3 linked regions of the Saccharomyces cerevisiae S288C genome follow. The gene in region 2 interacts genetically with the main gene of each other region. Each region holds a gene or a part of one and is shown on either strand. Other genes may lie near its edges. The genes, in order: YLR159W, YBL036C and YHP1.

Region 1 (5,175 bases), on a different chromosome or scaffold from region 2:
CTTCTGACCCTAGATCACCTCATGATATCCTTTTGAGGCAATTAAAGCTGCAGTGTAAACTGTTGAATATCTTTTTGAAACCAAAAAAAAGGACGTTCCACACTTGGCTGCTTTCTTGATAAGCGAGATCTTTACTTGGAGATCTCGCTTAGTCCTCCGAAGGGTAAACCCCGTCTCTTATCTTTAAAAAAATGTATCAGACCCTTCAGCACGTGACAGACAGCAAACTACCAGTCGACGAGGATGCTTTTCCGAAAGTCATGACACAAGGGAAGGACTGTAAGATCGATATCGGCGCAGTCTTATCGGATGTTCCAAGTCCTTGTCTCTTTCATTATCTGCTTGCTATCGCAAAAAAAAAAAAATCAATTTGTTTAATATCAACACATAATGTACAAGAACAAATCATGACATACAAAAGCCATATAAGATGAGTCTTCAAGCAGCACCAAGAGGCCTGAGGCAGAGCAAATGTTGGCTCGCTATTCTTTTGTAAGCAATCTGGTACTCACCAACCTCCAACTATGAGATCTTTAAATACCCTTTTACTTTCTCTCTTTGTCGCAATGTCCAGTGGTGCTCCACTACTAAAAATTCGTGAAGAGAAGAATTCTTCTTTGCCATCAATCAAAATTTTTGGTACCGGCGGTACTATCGCTTCCAAGGGTTCGACAAGTGCAACAACGGCGGGTTATAGCGTGGGATTAACCGTAAATGATTTAATAGAAGCCGTCCCATCTTTAGCTGAGAAGGCAAATCTGGACTATCTTCAAGTGTCTAACGTTGGTTCAAATTCTTTAAACTATACGCATCTGATCCCATTGTATCACGGTATCTCCGAGGCACTAGCCTCTGATGACTACGCTGGTGCGGTTGTCACTCATGGGACCGACACTATGGAGGAGACAGCTTTCTTCTTAGATTTGACCATAAATTCAGAGAAGCCAGTATGTATCGCAGGCGCTATGCGTCCAGCCACTGCCACGTCTGCTGATGGCCCAATGAATTTATATCAAGCAGTGTCTATTGCTGCTTCTGAGAAATCACTGGGTCGTGGCACGATGATCACTCTAAACGATCGTATTGCCTCTGGGTTTTGGACAACGAAAATGAATGCCAACTCTTTAGATACATTCAGAGCGGATGAACAGGGATATTTAGGTTACTTTTCAAATGATGACGTGGAGTTTTACTACCCACCAGTCAAGCCAAATGGATGGCAATTTTTTGACATTTCCAACCTCACAGACCCTTCGGAAATTCCAGAAGTCATTATTCTGTACTCCTATCAAGGCTTGAATCCTGAGCTAATAGTAAAGGCCGTCAAGGACCTGGGCGCAAAAGGTATCGTGTTGGCGGGTTCTGGAGCTGGTTCCTGGACTGCTACGGGTAGTATTGTAAACGAACAACTTTATGAAGAGTATGGTATACCAATTGTTCACAGCAGAAGAACAGCAGATGGTACAGTTCCTCCAGATGATGCCCCAGAGTACGCCATTGGATCTGGCTACCTAAACCCTCAAAAATCGCGTATTTTGCTACAATTATGTTTGTACTCCGGCTACGGCATGGATCAGATTAGGTCTGTTTTTTCTGGCGTCTACGGTGGTTAAAGCCTGATCAGTGACTTTTCATCACACTGTGTTTTTATATAGTTCTTAGTAGTAAATATACTCTATAATTTCTACATCCTTTTCATGATGTGCCAGTTAAGCTATTTTTAGCAAACAAAAAGATGAATTTGAGTATTGAGCACATCATTCACTGTTCAGCTGATACAAAACATATGATTTCTAATATTCACATAGGAAAAATCGCTCCAAACATCGAAGTATCATCGCTACTTTGGTCTTTTATCTGCTTCTCTTCTCTTCGCTCTTTTCACTGCTCGTGCCGCTGCAACGCTCCAACTCAGTTCTATCTCAGCTCCTTCCCCTTATCCCTTGAGCAGTGTCAAGGCGAGGCTGCGTGATGTATTCGTGCGCGAAAAAAAAAACAACTGCAGCACCTGAGTTTCGCGTATGGTCACCCACTACACTACTCGGTCAGGCTCTTACCAGCTTAACTACAGTTGATCGGACGGGAAACGGTGCTTTCTGGTAGATATGGCCGCAACCGAAATAGTTAGGTGTGGCAGCCGTACATATGGAAGCCGGGCGATGGCTCCGCCACGTGCAAAGTGCAGGAGCTTTGGAAAGAGCGTGCATATAGTGATGAAAACAGAGAGCACGGTTGCGAACGGAGGGTCTCACAATGTCTCAAAGGATAAATCTCTTGGTTTGCGGGCCGCATACAAGATATGATTGTAGTTTTTTCAATGGCTCTACTGTCCCACTGCTGTACAACAGAAAATGAGAGATCAGAGAAATAGTATTCCGGAAGCCAGTGGTGTTTACTTATTAGTTTTTTGACGCCACTGCGCGAGTTGCTGCCTAGCTGTTCCTTGGCCAACGCATATTGGAACTTCATTCGACTGATATGCTTACTCAGAGGTCCATTACTTCAAGAATTGTCTCACCTATCGGGCTTGGCGTTTGTACAAGAAGAAACTTTCATCACCTTTGTTTCGCCACCAAATGAAAAAAAAAACTTGCATGGCTTAGGTGGTTCTTTGTCAGAAATATCTTCTAAGGATCAAGAGTCTTACGTGATTCTAATCCCTTGGCAAGTCAGATCTCAAATATGCTCACTCGCAGATGAGTAGCAATGAATGCGACCAAGTGACTAGTGACTGGTGACGACATGAGCCAAGCTGGAACCAGCAGCTTTCACGTCGGCTTATAGCTCTCTATGGGGCAATCAACCACTCATAGTGACTGAAGATCTTTTTAATATAATTACATTGCTAAAAACGTCATACCGCCTTGTGAGCACGATAAACAGCATATGCATTGAGCCTTGTTATTCTTCGGAACTGGGGATAGTAAAATGCGACCCGCTTAGGATGATCAAGCTATCTTTGGGACGGAGTTTTGTCATGGGAGTGGTCATCCTACTGGTGATGCTTCAACATTTGATTTACTAAATTTTGAAATCGGCCGCAGAATAAAACTATTATGTCCAAACAATTGATGGTCGAACCAACGTTAAGGGTTTCAAGTATTGAATTGAACTTTTATGAGTTCTATAATTTCGTTGCGCAAATTCAACTAAACCACCAATATCCCCCCTACAACGCTACACTTTATACCGATAGAGGAATAACGCATAGAGCCTTCGTAGAATTCTTCAACTCGTACGTGATGGGGATTCTAAACCTATCGTCATGTCGCTGTACAAGGCTGCTGCCTGCTTTCAAATTCCCAATTTTACCATGTCCGTTTCGCTGAGCCGAATCGTCACACAAGGTAATTAGTTCTGGGTATCGCTTCAGTATAGCACTGGTTTTTTCCTTGTAAAACCACAGTCTAACAATTAAATGAAGCTTTTCGAAGAAATTAGACCATGTTAGACTGAAAGCAAAGACTCCGGCCCGTTCTGAGGTAAGTTCAATGAAATTGGACAGTTTCTTTTCAAGGTTAGGTTTTGTGTTCGAAAAAAATAGATTACCGCACCTCCTTTCCAAACCCCATGAGTTTCCATTAAGGAAGAGCAACGTCAATAATACCACCTTTTGCAGATGTGATTCAACTCAAGATGCTGTAATCTTTCCCTTCTGACCCTAGATCACCTCATGATATCCTTTTGAGGCAATTAAAGCTGCAGTGTAAACTGTTGAATATCTTTTTGAAACCAAAAAAAAGGACGTTCCACACTTGGCTGCTTTCTTGATAAGCGAGATCTTTACTTGGAGATCTCGCTTAGTCCTCCGAAGGGTAAACCCCGTCTCTTATCTTTAAAAAAATGTATCAGACCCTTCAGCACGTGACAGACAGCAAACTACCAGTCGACGAGGATGCTTTTCCGAAAGTCATGACACAAGGGAAGGACTGTAAGATCGATATCGGCGCAGTCTTATCGGATGTTCCAAGTCCTTGTCTCTTTCATTATCTGCTTGCTATCGCAAAAAAAAAAAAATCAATTTGTTTAATATCAACACATAATGTACAAGAACAAATCATGACATACAAAAGCCATATAAGATGAGTCTTCAAGCAGCACCAAGAGGCCTGAGGCAGAGCAAATGTTGGCTCGCTATTCTTTTGTAAGCAATCTGGTACTCACCAACCTCCAACTATGAGATCTTTAAATACCCTTTTACTTTCTCTCTTTGTCGCAATGTCCAGTGGTGCTCCACTACTAAAAATTCGTGAAGAGAAGAATTCTTCTTTGCCATCAATCAAAATTTTTGGTACCGGCGGTACTATCGCTTCCAAGGGTTCGACAAGTGCAACAACGGCGGGTTATAGCGTGGGATTAACCGTAAATGATTTAATAGAAGCCGTCCCATCTTTAGCTGAGAAGGCAAATCTGGACTATCTTCAAGTGTCTAACGTTGGTTCAAATTCTTTAAACTATACGCATCTGATCCCATTGTATCACGGTATCTCCGAGGCACTAGCCTCTGATGACTACGCTGGTGCGGTTGTCACTCATGGGACCGACACTATGGAGGAGACAGCTTTCTTCTTAGATTTGACCATAAATTCAGAGAAGCCAGTATGTATCGCAGGCGCTATGCGTCCAGCCACTGCCACGTCTGCTGATGGCCCAATGAATTTATATCAAGCAGTGTCTATTGCTGCTTCTGAGAAATCACTGGGTCGTGGCACGATGATCACTCTAAACGATCGTATTGCCTCTGGGTTTTGGACAACGAAAATGAATGCCAACTCTTTAGATACATTCAGAGCGGATGAACAGGGATATTTAGGTTACTTTTCAAATGATGACGTGGAGTTTTACTACCCACCAGTCAAGCCAAATGGATGGCAATTTTTTGACATTTCCAACCTCACAGACCCTTCGGAAATTCCAGAAGTCATTATTCTGTACTCCTATCAAGGCTTGAATCCTGAGCTAATAGTAAAGGCCGTCAAGGACCTGGGCGCAAAAGGTATCGTGTTGGCGGGTTCTGGAGCTGGTTCCTGGACTGCTACGGGTAGTATTGTAAACGAACAACTTTATGAAGAGTATGGTATACCAATTGTTCACAGCAGAAGAACAGCAGATGGTACAGTTCCTCCAGATGATGCCCCAGAGTACGCCATTGGATCTGGCTACCTAAACCCTCAA
Region 2 (5,304 bases):
AGCGGGAAACCTGCAATTGATGCCGTTCGTTACAAGAATTTGGATATGATTTTTCATCTTTTGAACACAGAAAGAGATTCATCTATTGTTAGGAAGGTTGTTGACTTGTTATATACCTTTACTGATGTTGAAAACGTTAAGATTATTGTGGACGGTTTACTGCAGTATATTTTATCTCCGAAAAATCTTGCTGAACCGCAAATAAAATCTGATATTGCAGTTAAAATAGCTATTTTGACCGAGAAATATGCCACGGATATCAATTGGTTTGTAATTATTTCGTTGCAGTTGCTATCATTAACTTCAAATACAACTATTAACGATGATGAGATCTGGCAACGACTATGTCAAATTGTAGTGAACAATCCATCTTTACATAGAATAACATGTGAACGGTTGGTGGACTATTTATGTAAAAAGCAAGCATCTGAAGCTATTATTAAAGCTGCGGCTTTTCTACTAGGGGAGTACTCAAGTCTCATAACAGACAGGATTTCAAGCGCAAATTTATTTACTTTGTTTGCCGAGAAATATTTTAGTGCACCAAATGTGGCTAAGGCGATGATATTGACTACGATGATCAAGTTGTACAAGACCTCACCTGAGATCGGCTCCAACGTCATCAAATTTTTCCAATTGGAATTGAACTCTCTTGATATTGAGTTGCAAACAAGATCCTTCGAATATCTCAACATTATTCAACTGGCTAAGGTGAACGGAAATACAGATATTTTGCAAATTTTATTTGAACCAATGCCGCCTTTTAACAGCAAATCTAATCCATTATTGAAGAGATTAGGGTCACTGCCGGCATCAGCGGGTAGCACAACTTTAATAAATACACCATCCGAAGCATCCTCCTCCACGCCTGACTTACTATCAAAAAGAGCAAACTCTTCCAGGTCGATCATGGTTCCCATGCCCCCACCATCTCGTAGGAACACCATTGATGATGTAAATTCCAAAATTAGTTCATCTGAAGACTTTTCAGGAAAGGACTCTTATTATTCAAGGCAGATCCTCGCTCCAAATTGGAGGGAAGGTTTCACAAGAATGATTTCGCATAAGCAGGGTGTGCTTTTCACATCATCTTTGATGAAAGTTTTCTATCGGATAACCACTCCTGATGCACAACAGCCATACGTGTTTCATATATCTCTTGCCTTCATTAACCTGACTGAGTGGGAAATCACGGGATTATCCACACAGATTATCCCTTCAAAAACGCAAGGTAATCCTGAGTATTTAATTATGAATATTAATACACCTTCTACTGCTACTATTGGGCCCCATAAAAGGGCAGAGCAAAGCTATGAAGTTTCAATAAGAAAACCTTTCGACGTTGAAGATAGTCCAATTTTGGCAATTCATTTCAAATGTGGCGGTAGTACAAACACTATCAATTTGAAAACTGCCATAGGCATGACTACAACACTAATTAGCAGCGATGTCAATCCTAGCATGCATTTGAATTTGGCACAGTTCATCAGCCGTTGGAAGACTTTGAGCGATGCTTTGGGAAAAGAGGGAGAATACCAAAAATCTGGCATAAAGCTCAACAAGGATTTTAGAAAAGTTGAAACAATCAGTTTAGAAGACGGACTTCTACTATTGACGCAAACAGTGAAGAGGTTGGGCTTTGATATAGTCGATCAGACCAGTGTTCGTAGTACATTGTTTGTCTCGGGTATTATTCATACGAAAAGTGAGGGAAACTTCGGTTGTTTAATGAAGATACAATACCAGGTAAATGGAACAGTTAATGTTACCTGTAAAACAACGACGGCCGGTCCCCTGGCGAAGTACATTGTCGAATGTATAAAGAATGTGCTTACGAAGTAAAATTTTCTCAAATTCACTATAATGAAAATCATCCGCATTGTACATATATAAACACACACACACATATATATATATATTTGAGATTCTATTTATTTTCATTTTGTGTTGTAATGCTATAAAAAAAAAGATCTTCGTATAAAATCTCAGTTCATTCAACCTACTAAATGATTCTAGCTTCATTTTTTGGAGGTCTAGCACCAAAAATGTCGGTACCAATTCTGACTTCCGCTGTTCCTTGCCTTATAGCCTCCCTGAAATCAGCACTCATCCCCATAGACAATTTCAATGATGTACCAAATTTAGCATCAATCTTCTTCTTCCACTCAACCAGCGTAGCAAAGTCTCTGTTTTCTTTGCTATCTTCATGAGAGACGTTCCATGAACCAATAGTCATTAACCCATTCAACTTAATATACTTGCATTCTTCGGATAAGAAGAAGTCGATGACTTCAAATATTTCTGCTTCATTATTCAAGCCCGATTTTTGATCCTCATGGGAGGTATTAATTTGAACATTACACAATATTGGGTTGCAATCTGGTTGAAATTTAGCCCTCGATTCGTTTAATTTTTTGGCTTTCTTCAAGGAGTCGATTGTTTCAACAGAGTATAAATTTGGCACTTTAGCCAAATCTTTACATTTATTCGTTTGCAAACCGCCAATAAAGTGCCACTTGATATCGTCTGGTAGTAATTTTGCCTTTTCGATCAACTCTTGAACATAGTTTTCCCCGAACTCCCTCACACCATGGTCGTAAAGAATTTGTATATCGCTAGCTGGTTTCAATTTCGAAACAACCAATAATAAAATTTTGGAGGCATTTTCATTAACATGAACATTTTTTGCCTCTGCATTCACAACTTCCCTTACAGATTCGTATTGGGCAATTAATTGTGTCTTTCTATCTTCATCATAAGTAATACCAGTGGACATATTGCAATGTGATGCTGGAATCTTAGTCAAAAAGGAAAGAGTGATGCCTATCAGTTTTTTTTTTTATTATGCATTTAAGAGTAGTCTCTACTTATGAACATTTTCTCTGGCCTCTGATCACGTTACTTTATTACCCGGATACTGATCATGTTATGGTCTTTAATCAATAAGTAAGTTATAGAGCCAGTTTCAAGGTCGATAGTTCAGGTGTATAACAATACTTTTTGGTGCTACCTTGAGCTATTCCATTAGTTAAGTTTGAATTAAATATATCAACTAGCAATCAAGTCAACTCTAGCGCGCTTCCACACGTTGTGTAGATAAACTGGCTCTTCACCTTCAACAAGCGTCAATTTCCCGTCTTCAAGATCAGGGCATTGGACAGTAATTTGTGCATAGGATCCCCTGTTACCTGTTGCTCTAATAAATCTTCCGGGATTTATAACAACTACGTTTTGGACAACTCTTGCAAAGTGTTGTAATTCACTGGGTATAATCATTATGTCAGGCGAGAACCCACCAACAAACTCTGTTAGTCCCAGATAACTCACGTCTAAATCTGCACCAGATATATGTTCATAAACTTTTTCTTCTTTGCTTTCCATATCATTGGTTTCCTTCTTCGTAGATACGTCTTTTGGTTTTATTCTTGTACGAATACTACCTGGAAATATGGGGTAATACCTGCGCTGTTGTAAAATATGCTCAGAAACACGATCTAATCTATATCTTGATGAGGTAGTACCGCCTTTTATGACTTCCTTTAGATCTTTGAATGTATCAACGTTTGAGCAACCGAAGTATATCTCATTTATTTGAAAAGATGAAGGATTAGCCATGCATTTGAAGTTCCTTTTAGGCAGCTGTAAAGCCTTTCTAATTAAAGAAGCTTGTGGATATGCGGCGTGATTAGAAATTGCATCTTTTGTGGAGGGTATCAATACGGTTTGGATATGTGGTGATATGGTTTTTAGAATAGGAGTAAATAACTTCAAAAAAAGCTCGTCCAATGTTTTGGGCTGTGTCTTGAACTGGGGAAAATTTGGCAATTTACCACTCGCTATCAGAGGATGGGTGATATCTATAAATGGGCCAAACATTATCAAGACGTGAGGTTTTACCTCATTATTTATACTATCGATAAATTCTTGCAACAATTCGAGGGAGAAGTTATCATTTGCAAAGTATGGGCCACAGGTCACGATAACCTTCAAAGAAGAACCTTCCAAATTTGCTTGAAACTCCTGCAGTTCCTGCGATGTGGACACTGGGGAGTTTGGATAAGGTAGCGGCAAAATAGAGTTAACGGTGAAGTAATCCCCATTAGCATTTTTACCTTTGAATGCCACAATTTGGCCTAAGAAAAACGAAAGCTCGTTGACCTGCGATAGATCTAACCTTACCCTTCTTCCAACGCCGCCCATTCTTGAGGTCTCTAGGGAAAGCGATTCTGGATTCAAAAACTTGTCGTAGGTCGGCGAATCTGGAACTATCCTTCCAACAGCATAAATTTCGGACTGAGATTGAATAGTTGGATCAGCGAAGTCGTTTGGAGATAACTTATAGTGATTTTGAATAATCTTAGTAAACGATTCAATTTGATCATCGAGGACATCAGACGCTTCCTGTAAGTTTTGCCTCATTGTTCTGAATTTATACTTTTTAGCATCATAAAATGGTTCTACTTTGACCTGGTTATATGATGGTTCTTCAGTCGAAAGAAGGCCTACATTTGGATTACCAGATGATATTTCAATATTTTCAGGGTTCAAAGAATCCAAAATTTCACCAGCAGGAACATTTTGCCTCGATGTGGTAGGAGTGTTTGTTGTTGGAGTTTGGAATGTCGACGAGCCGGGAGTCTTGGCATCCGAGCTTTTAGCGTGGGACAATGGAGCACTGTCACCCACAGCATCTTCTGCCATGCCTGGAGTAAACTCCAATTTTAAAGAACTATTTCCTTTTTCATTTGTTTCTGCCTCAGAGCCTACATTATATGTTTGCTTGGAATCACTGAGTGAAAAGGGACCATGTAACTTTCTTTTTTTTAAAGTCGGAGTCTTTGGAATACTAAGGCCAAACAAGGGACTTGAATTCAAACTTTTTTTAATCACTGGTTTTTTTGTGGATGTGTTTACCTTAGAGGACGATGAAATTTGGTTAGCACGCTTTTCCATTTGTAATTGTAAAAATTGTTTAAACTCATCTATGTTCTTGGAAGTCAGATCTGTGTGAGTTTGACGCCTTTGATTGGAGAACTGCTCCCATTTAATGTATAGATCCTCGACGGACAATGCATGCAGTTTAGTTAAATTCTCTAATGCAGTGATGATTTCCGGCTTGTCTGCATCAGGCCCAAAATGAGTGATGACATCGATAGATCCGCTCATTTTTTTTTTTTTCAGTCACTTGCTCCTGCCTAAATTTACCTTCAAGCTTTGTTGAACCAATTGACAATCAATTATCTTGATATTTTTATATGCAAATATATTATGTATATGAAACAAAATGTTATATGTGTCTACAAA
Region 3 (5,747 bases), on a different chromosome or scaffold from region 2:
AAGAGAATACCCGGATGAAAAAGCGTGTTCGGATTCCCATCACTTAATGAAGCTTATATCTGACAGCGCAGGAAAAGCACAAAATAGAACCTAGCCACTTCGCGTAAAAGCTCATAATGTTAACGATATAGTAATATTTTGACGCATCGAACTTTATCACCCGCAGCATAAAGTACTGATACTACAAGTTTTTTTCGTTATTCTTACCGGTATTGCGCTAAAGCAGTTTTGCACCTGAAAACAAGTAAAAATAGGACTTGAAAAAATTAAATAGCATACATGTATAATATAATCTTGATCACGGCAAGTGTTTCAATAGAGATGTGGTTATAATTTGTCACTTGTGCAGTCAATACCTTAAATTAACTTTTACAAAGTATTTTTTTTAAACGGCCCATGAGCATAAATTGAGAACGATATTATTAATTCTAGTATATTTTAGGAACAGCAGGCCATTATATCCAAAACTTTTTTAAAATAGCATCCACATCACTTACTGGCGTACAGTTTCGTGTCTGGCAACAAAAAAGTACATTTAATTTCAATGATTAAAAAGACATTAAACATCCGTACATTACGCACCCATGCATGCTATCTGAAAATATTCTACATGCTGCTTTTAGAAATTTGAAGCGGCATATGGTGTTTCCTTGCGGAGACGCGCGCTCAGGGGAACTGCGATTCCGAAAGATGCCTTTCCCAGTCCCATATGCCCATCCCAAGATCATGCCCGGGAGAGCAAATGTCGCCCCAGCCAGGTCGGACACATCTGTCATTCGACCACTAAGTATTGTCAAAGCTAGGGTTAATTGAAGATAGCTCTACATGTTATTAGTAGAGTTTTTAAACGTTGAGATACTAGTGAACGTATACACAAGAGCGGATAAAAGATGTCTTTAGTTGTCCAAGAACAAGGTTCCTTCCAACACATTTTACGGTATGTTTATTATTACTAGTGAGCTATGACAAAATCGGCTAAAAACTTAAAAATATGACAGACAAGAAAGGAAATTCATTCACCTCTTTAATCGTGGCGATTATTCGCTAACGACGTGATTAAATATAATAATGATGTTCCCGGGCTGGACTAAGAACGTAATAATAAGGCTGATGAACAAATTTATGGTTTATGCATCAAAAAGGAACATGAATTTGGCATAAGCGCACATAATTACGGAACATTGCAATAGCGGTCGGAGGTAAAGTACCGGGAATGCTTTACAATGAATCAGCTATTGGCGGATATTGACCAACCAACACTAAAATTTTATATCCTGCTCCGATTTTTGTCTTGGCCGTGAAATCCATTATGCACATTTTTTACTAACGTTTATCAATAAGTTCGGTTTCCCGTCTAAATTTTTTTACGCAGTTTGTTGAACACTAACGTTGACGGTAACATTAAGATCGTTTACGCTTTGACCACTATCAAGGGTGTTGGTCGTCGTTACTCCAACTTGGTCTGTAAGAAGGCTGATGTTGATTTACACAAGAGAGCTGGTGAATTGACCCAAGAAGAATTGGAAAGAATTGTTCAAATTATGCAAAACCCAACTCACTACAAAATCCCAGCTTGGTTCTTGAACCGTCAAAATGACATCACTGATGGTAAGGACTACCACACTTTGGCTAACAACGTCGAATCCAAATTGAGAGATGACTTGGAAAGATTAAAGAAAATCAGAGCTCATCGTGGTATCAGACACTTCTGGGGTTTGCGTGTTAGAGGTCAACACACCAAGACCACTGGTAGAAGAAGAGCTTAAACTGATAAGATTATTCAAGCTTAATCTTTTTTGTACGAGTACATATATTTCCATAGCACTTCCTAATTGACTTTTTTTTAAAATAAATAAAGAAAAGAAAATTAATTTTGTGACCATAATTTCAACTTGCCTTTTTTTTGTACAGGGTTTCAGGGATAAATGGACCCTTGAAAGAATATAATATTACATCTCTATATAGATTTATGAAACAGGCCGCTTTAAATCTAAAAAAAAACGTTGGTGTAGTCTCAGTCATTACTTTGTGTAGTTTTTGTTAATATTGATAGCATCAGTGCTCAAGAAAATAAACACTGAGAAAGATTAGTTTTTGAAAGAATTGAGATCGACCTCCCCAAGGGGTTTTCTTTCGTATGCATTGAACTTTAGGCGGTTTTCCTTGCCTTTAGGACTTTTGATAATCTCGCTATGACCGGTATTTGATAATGTTCTCTTAACAAGCACAGATTTCCTGTGGAACTTGAGCTGTCCGCCGGGCTTGCAAGGCGTTATGTGGTGGTCTTCGAAGATCGAGGACGTATTGGCAGGTGAAGTTTTCAGCAACTCTGCAGTAATAGCCTCCTTCGTACTCGTTGGCGTAGAGGTAATTTCCAACGCAGCGTCTGAGTAAGATATCATAGACATCGAATCATTAGAGTGAACTTTGCAATGGCTGGTGTTGCCACTGTTCTTGTGCTTTTTAGCAGCCTGCCTTTTGTTCTGAAACCATATTTGAACCGATTTTTCGGACATATTACATTGCTCGGATAACTCTATCCTTTTAGCCTTATTGGGCGTGGGACATTCGTCAAATGCTGTTTGCAATATCCCAAGCTCATATGATGAAGTTCTTCTTCTTTTCCGACGAGCTAACCGAGCATTGTCTATCTTAGGCTCCTTCTTTGGAAAAGTTTCCTGTGAGTGTGTAATAAAGGCAAATGACCTTTTCTTTTCTTTTCTTGTGGTTGGTGTGAGAACAGCCTTTGCAGCAGATAGAGGAGTAAGAATATTAACTTTTTTATAAGAGTGCATACTCTGAGGTGGCTGCTCTTTAGAACAGACTCTGACCGTTGGCGTGAATGGTGAATGAGAGCTCAGCTTCTTGGGCTTGGATAAAGGCGTCATGGAAGTGGTTACACGTTGTGATAAGAAATCCACAGCCTGTGGACTTTTCCTTTTTGGCCTTTCCTCATCGCAAGGACTTTTATAAATATTTACCACTGGTCTCACAATGTGCGCAGATGCAGCTAATGGTGGCAACCTGATGTCACCTTGGTCATCACTAGGGAAGTTTGTATTTGGCAAAGTATGCAGTTGGAAAGGCGAATTAGAAGTACCTGTAATAATGTTTGGTAAAGAAGGAAGCACGGTATTTCTGCTTTCCATGTTATATATATACGATATTTTGTGTTATTGTTATTTCCCTACAAATGCTAGTTACACTGGCTGGCGAGGGTAAAGAAGAAGATAATACGAATTATAATCTACGTTGGCAAGATCGGGAGGACGCCATATATATATTTATAAACATTCATCTGTGTGATCCAGATCAAACAAATAAACAATGAGTAAACGAAAAATCTGGCTGAAATGTCTCATGCTATTAACCCAATTCAGCATTGATATTAAAAATACCGACGTATCCCTGCACGGAAAGCGCGTCTGATGTTTACCATTCCGGGTTTTTGGCGCGCGTCATGTCCAAATTAGGACGTGGTTTATAGCCGAAAGAGGAAATGTGATCTGCCCACCTGTGCGGCCCTTCTCTGAGCGTTTCGAGCAGGATGCATAATATGCTCCCTTCGTACGGTAGAGGACAAATATGACCATTACCCGACTATTGAGGACATATGTCGTTATTAGAATTTAGCACCTTTAAAGTTATATTGCACTTTTAATTACCAAGATTCATTTGAGAGTGTAAAGGGTTTTATGGTAGAATACAAGTCAGAAGAAGGCTAAAATCAACAGATCAATATTTTTTTTGGTTGTTGGGTTGGAGAATTATAAAGTTTTTTTGATCTCCTTGTCTCCAGCTATTGTTTTCATTGAGTAGGGGTAGAGCTAGTTAGCTGCTTTTCGATGGTTGTAGTGGGTAAGAGTGAAGTGCGCAATGTAAGCATGAGTAGGCCGAAGAAGAAATCATTGATTGCCATCCTGTCGACCTGTGTTTTGTTTTTCCTCGTGTTTATAATTGGTGCTAAATTTCAATATGTTTCCGTTTTCTCCAAATTCTTAGATGACAGGGGGGACAACGAGTCACTTCAATTGCTCAATGACATAGAATTTACAAGGCTAGGACTGACACCTAGGGAGCCAGTAATTATCAAAGACGTAAAGACAGGGAAGGAGAGAAAATTACATGGACGGTTCCTTCATATTACCGATATTCATCCTGACCCTTATTATGTGGAAGGAAGCTCTATTGATGCAGTTTGTCACACAGGAAAACCAAGCAAAAAAAAGGATGTGGCACCCAAGTTTGGGAAGGCAATGTCTGGATGTGATTCTCCCGTTATTTTAATGGAAGAAACTCTGAGATGGATTAAAGAAAATCTTAGAGATAAGATTGATTTTGTCATTTGGACGGGTGATAATATCAGACATGACAATGACCGGAAACATCCAAGAACAGAAGCACAAATTTTTGATATGAACAATATCGTTGCTGATAAAATGACAGAATTATTTAGTGCTGGCAATGAAGAAGATCCAAGAGATTTTGATGTGTCTGTCATTCCAAGTCTTGGAAACAATGATGTCTTTCCACATAACATGTTTGCACTAGGACCAACTCTACAAACTAGAGAATATTATAGGATTTGGAAAAATTTTGTTCCGCAGCAGCAGCAAAGAACTTTTGATAGGAGTGCTTCATTTTTGACTGAAGTTATTCCAGGGAAGCTTGCTGTCCTGTCAATTAACACGCTGTACTTATTCAAGGCCAATCCGTTAGTTGACAATTGTAATTCAAAAAAAGAACCAGGTTACCAACTTTTACTTTGGTTCGGTTATGTATTAGAAGAACTAAGGAGTAGGGGAATGAAAGTATGGTTAAGTGGACATGTACCTCCAATCGCAAAAAATTTCGATCAGTCGTGCTACGATAAGTTCACGCTATGGACTCACGAATACAGGGATATAATCATTGGAGGATTATACGGTCACATGAATATTGACCACTTCATCCCAACGGATGGTAAAAAAGCTAGAAAATCGTTATTGAAAGCCATGGAGCAATCCACTCGTGTTCAACAAGGAGAAGACAGTAATGAAGAGGACGAAGAAACTGAATTGAATAGAATTCTGGATCACGCTATGGCGGCAAAAGAAGTTTTTTTAATGGGAGCGAAACCATCTAACAAAGAAGCATATATGAACACCGTCCGCGACACATACTATCGGAAAGTGTGGAATAAGCTGGAAAGAGTGGATGAAAAAAATGTTGAAAATGAGAAGAAAAAGAAAGAAAAGAAGGACAAAAAAAAGAAAAAGCCAATCACTAGAAAAGAGCTCATTGAACGCTATTCCATTGTGAACATAGGTGGTTCAGTCATTCCAACTTTCAATCCTTCCTTTAGGATCTGGGAATATAACATCACCGACATAGTGAATGACTCCAATTTTGCAGTTTCGGAGTATAAGCCCTGGGATGAATTTTTCGAGTCACTAAATAAGATTATGGAAGACTCTTTGCTAGAAGATGAAATGGACAGCAGTAATATCGAGGTTGGGATCAACCGCGAGAAGATGGGCGAAAAGAAAAACAAGAAGAAAAAGAAAAATGACAAGACTATGCCAATTGAGATGCCAGACAAATACGAACTCGGCCCTGCATATGTACCGCAGTTATTCACTCCGACGCGTTTCGTCCAATTCTACGCCGACTTGGAAAAAATCAATCAAGAATTACATAATTCATTTGTTGAATCTAAGGATATTTTCAGGTATGAGATAGAATATACCTCAGACGAGAAACCATAC

What was found.
Region 1: mutations in YBL036C (region 2) and YLR159W together harm fitness more than expected from each alone (negative genetic interaction), as found in Saccharomyces cerevisiae (one large-scale study listed by BioGRID).
Region 3: mutations in YBL036C (region 2) and YHP1 together harm fitness less than expected from each alone (positive genetic interaction), as found in Saccharomyces cerevisiae (one large-scale study listed by BioGRID).

The regions. Positions count from the first base shown.
Region 1 is NC_001144.5:482,639-487,813, reverse strand, and holds YLR159W (uncharacterized protein), read right to left. Parts: upstream 2,470-5,175; coding exon 2,125-2,469; downstream 1-2,124. Other genes in the region: asparaginase ASP3-4, read left to right, coding at 525-1,613; YLR159C-A (uncharacterized protein), read left to right, coding at 1,972-2,103; asparaginase ASP3-3, read left to right, coding at 4,177-5,175.
Region 2 is NC_001134.8:148,445-153,748, forward strand, and holds YBL036C (pyridoxal phosphate homeostasis protein), read right to left. Parts: upstream 2,777-5,304; coding exon 2,003-2,776; downstream 1-2,002. Other genes in the region: APL3 (Apl3p), read left to right, coding at 1-1,842; DNA-directed DNA polymerase alpha subunit POL12, read right to left, coding at 3,049-5,166. UniProt on the Saccharomyces cerevisiae protein: Pyridoxal 5'-phosphate (PLP)-binding protein, which may be involved in intracellular homeostatic regulation of pyridoxal 5'-phosphate (PLP), the active form of vitamin B6.
Region 3 is NC_001136.10:1,359,033-1,364,779, forward strand, and holds YHP1 (Yhp1p), read right to left. Parts: upstream 3,150-5,747; coding exon 2,088-3,149; downstream 1-2,087. Other genes in the region: 40S ribosomal protein uS13 RPS18A, read left to right, coding at 891-937, 1,373-1,766; PPN1 (endopolyphosphatase), read left to right, coding at 3,846-5,747.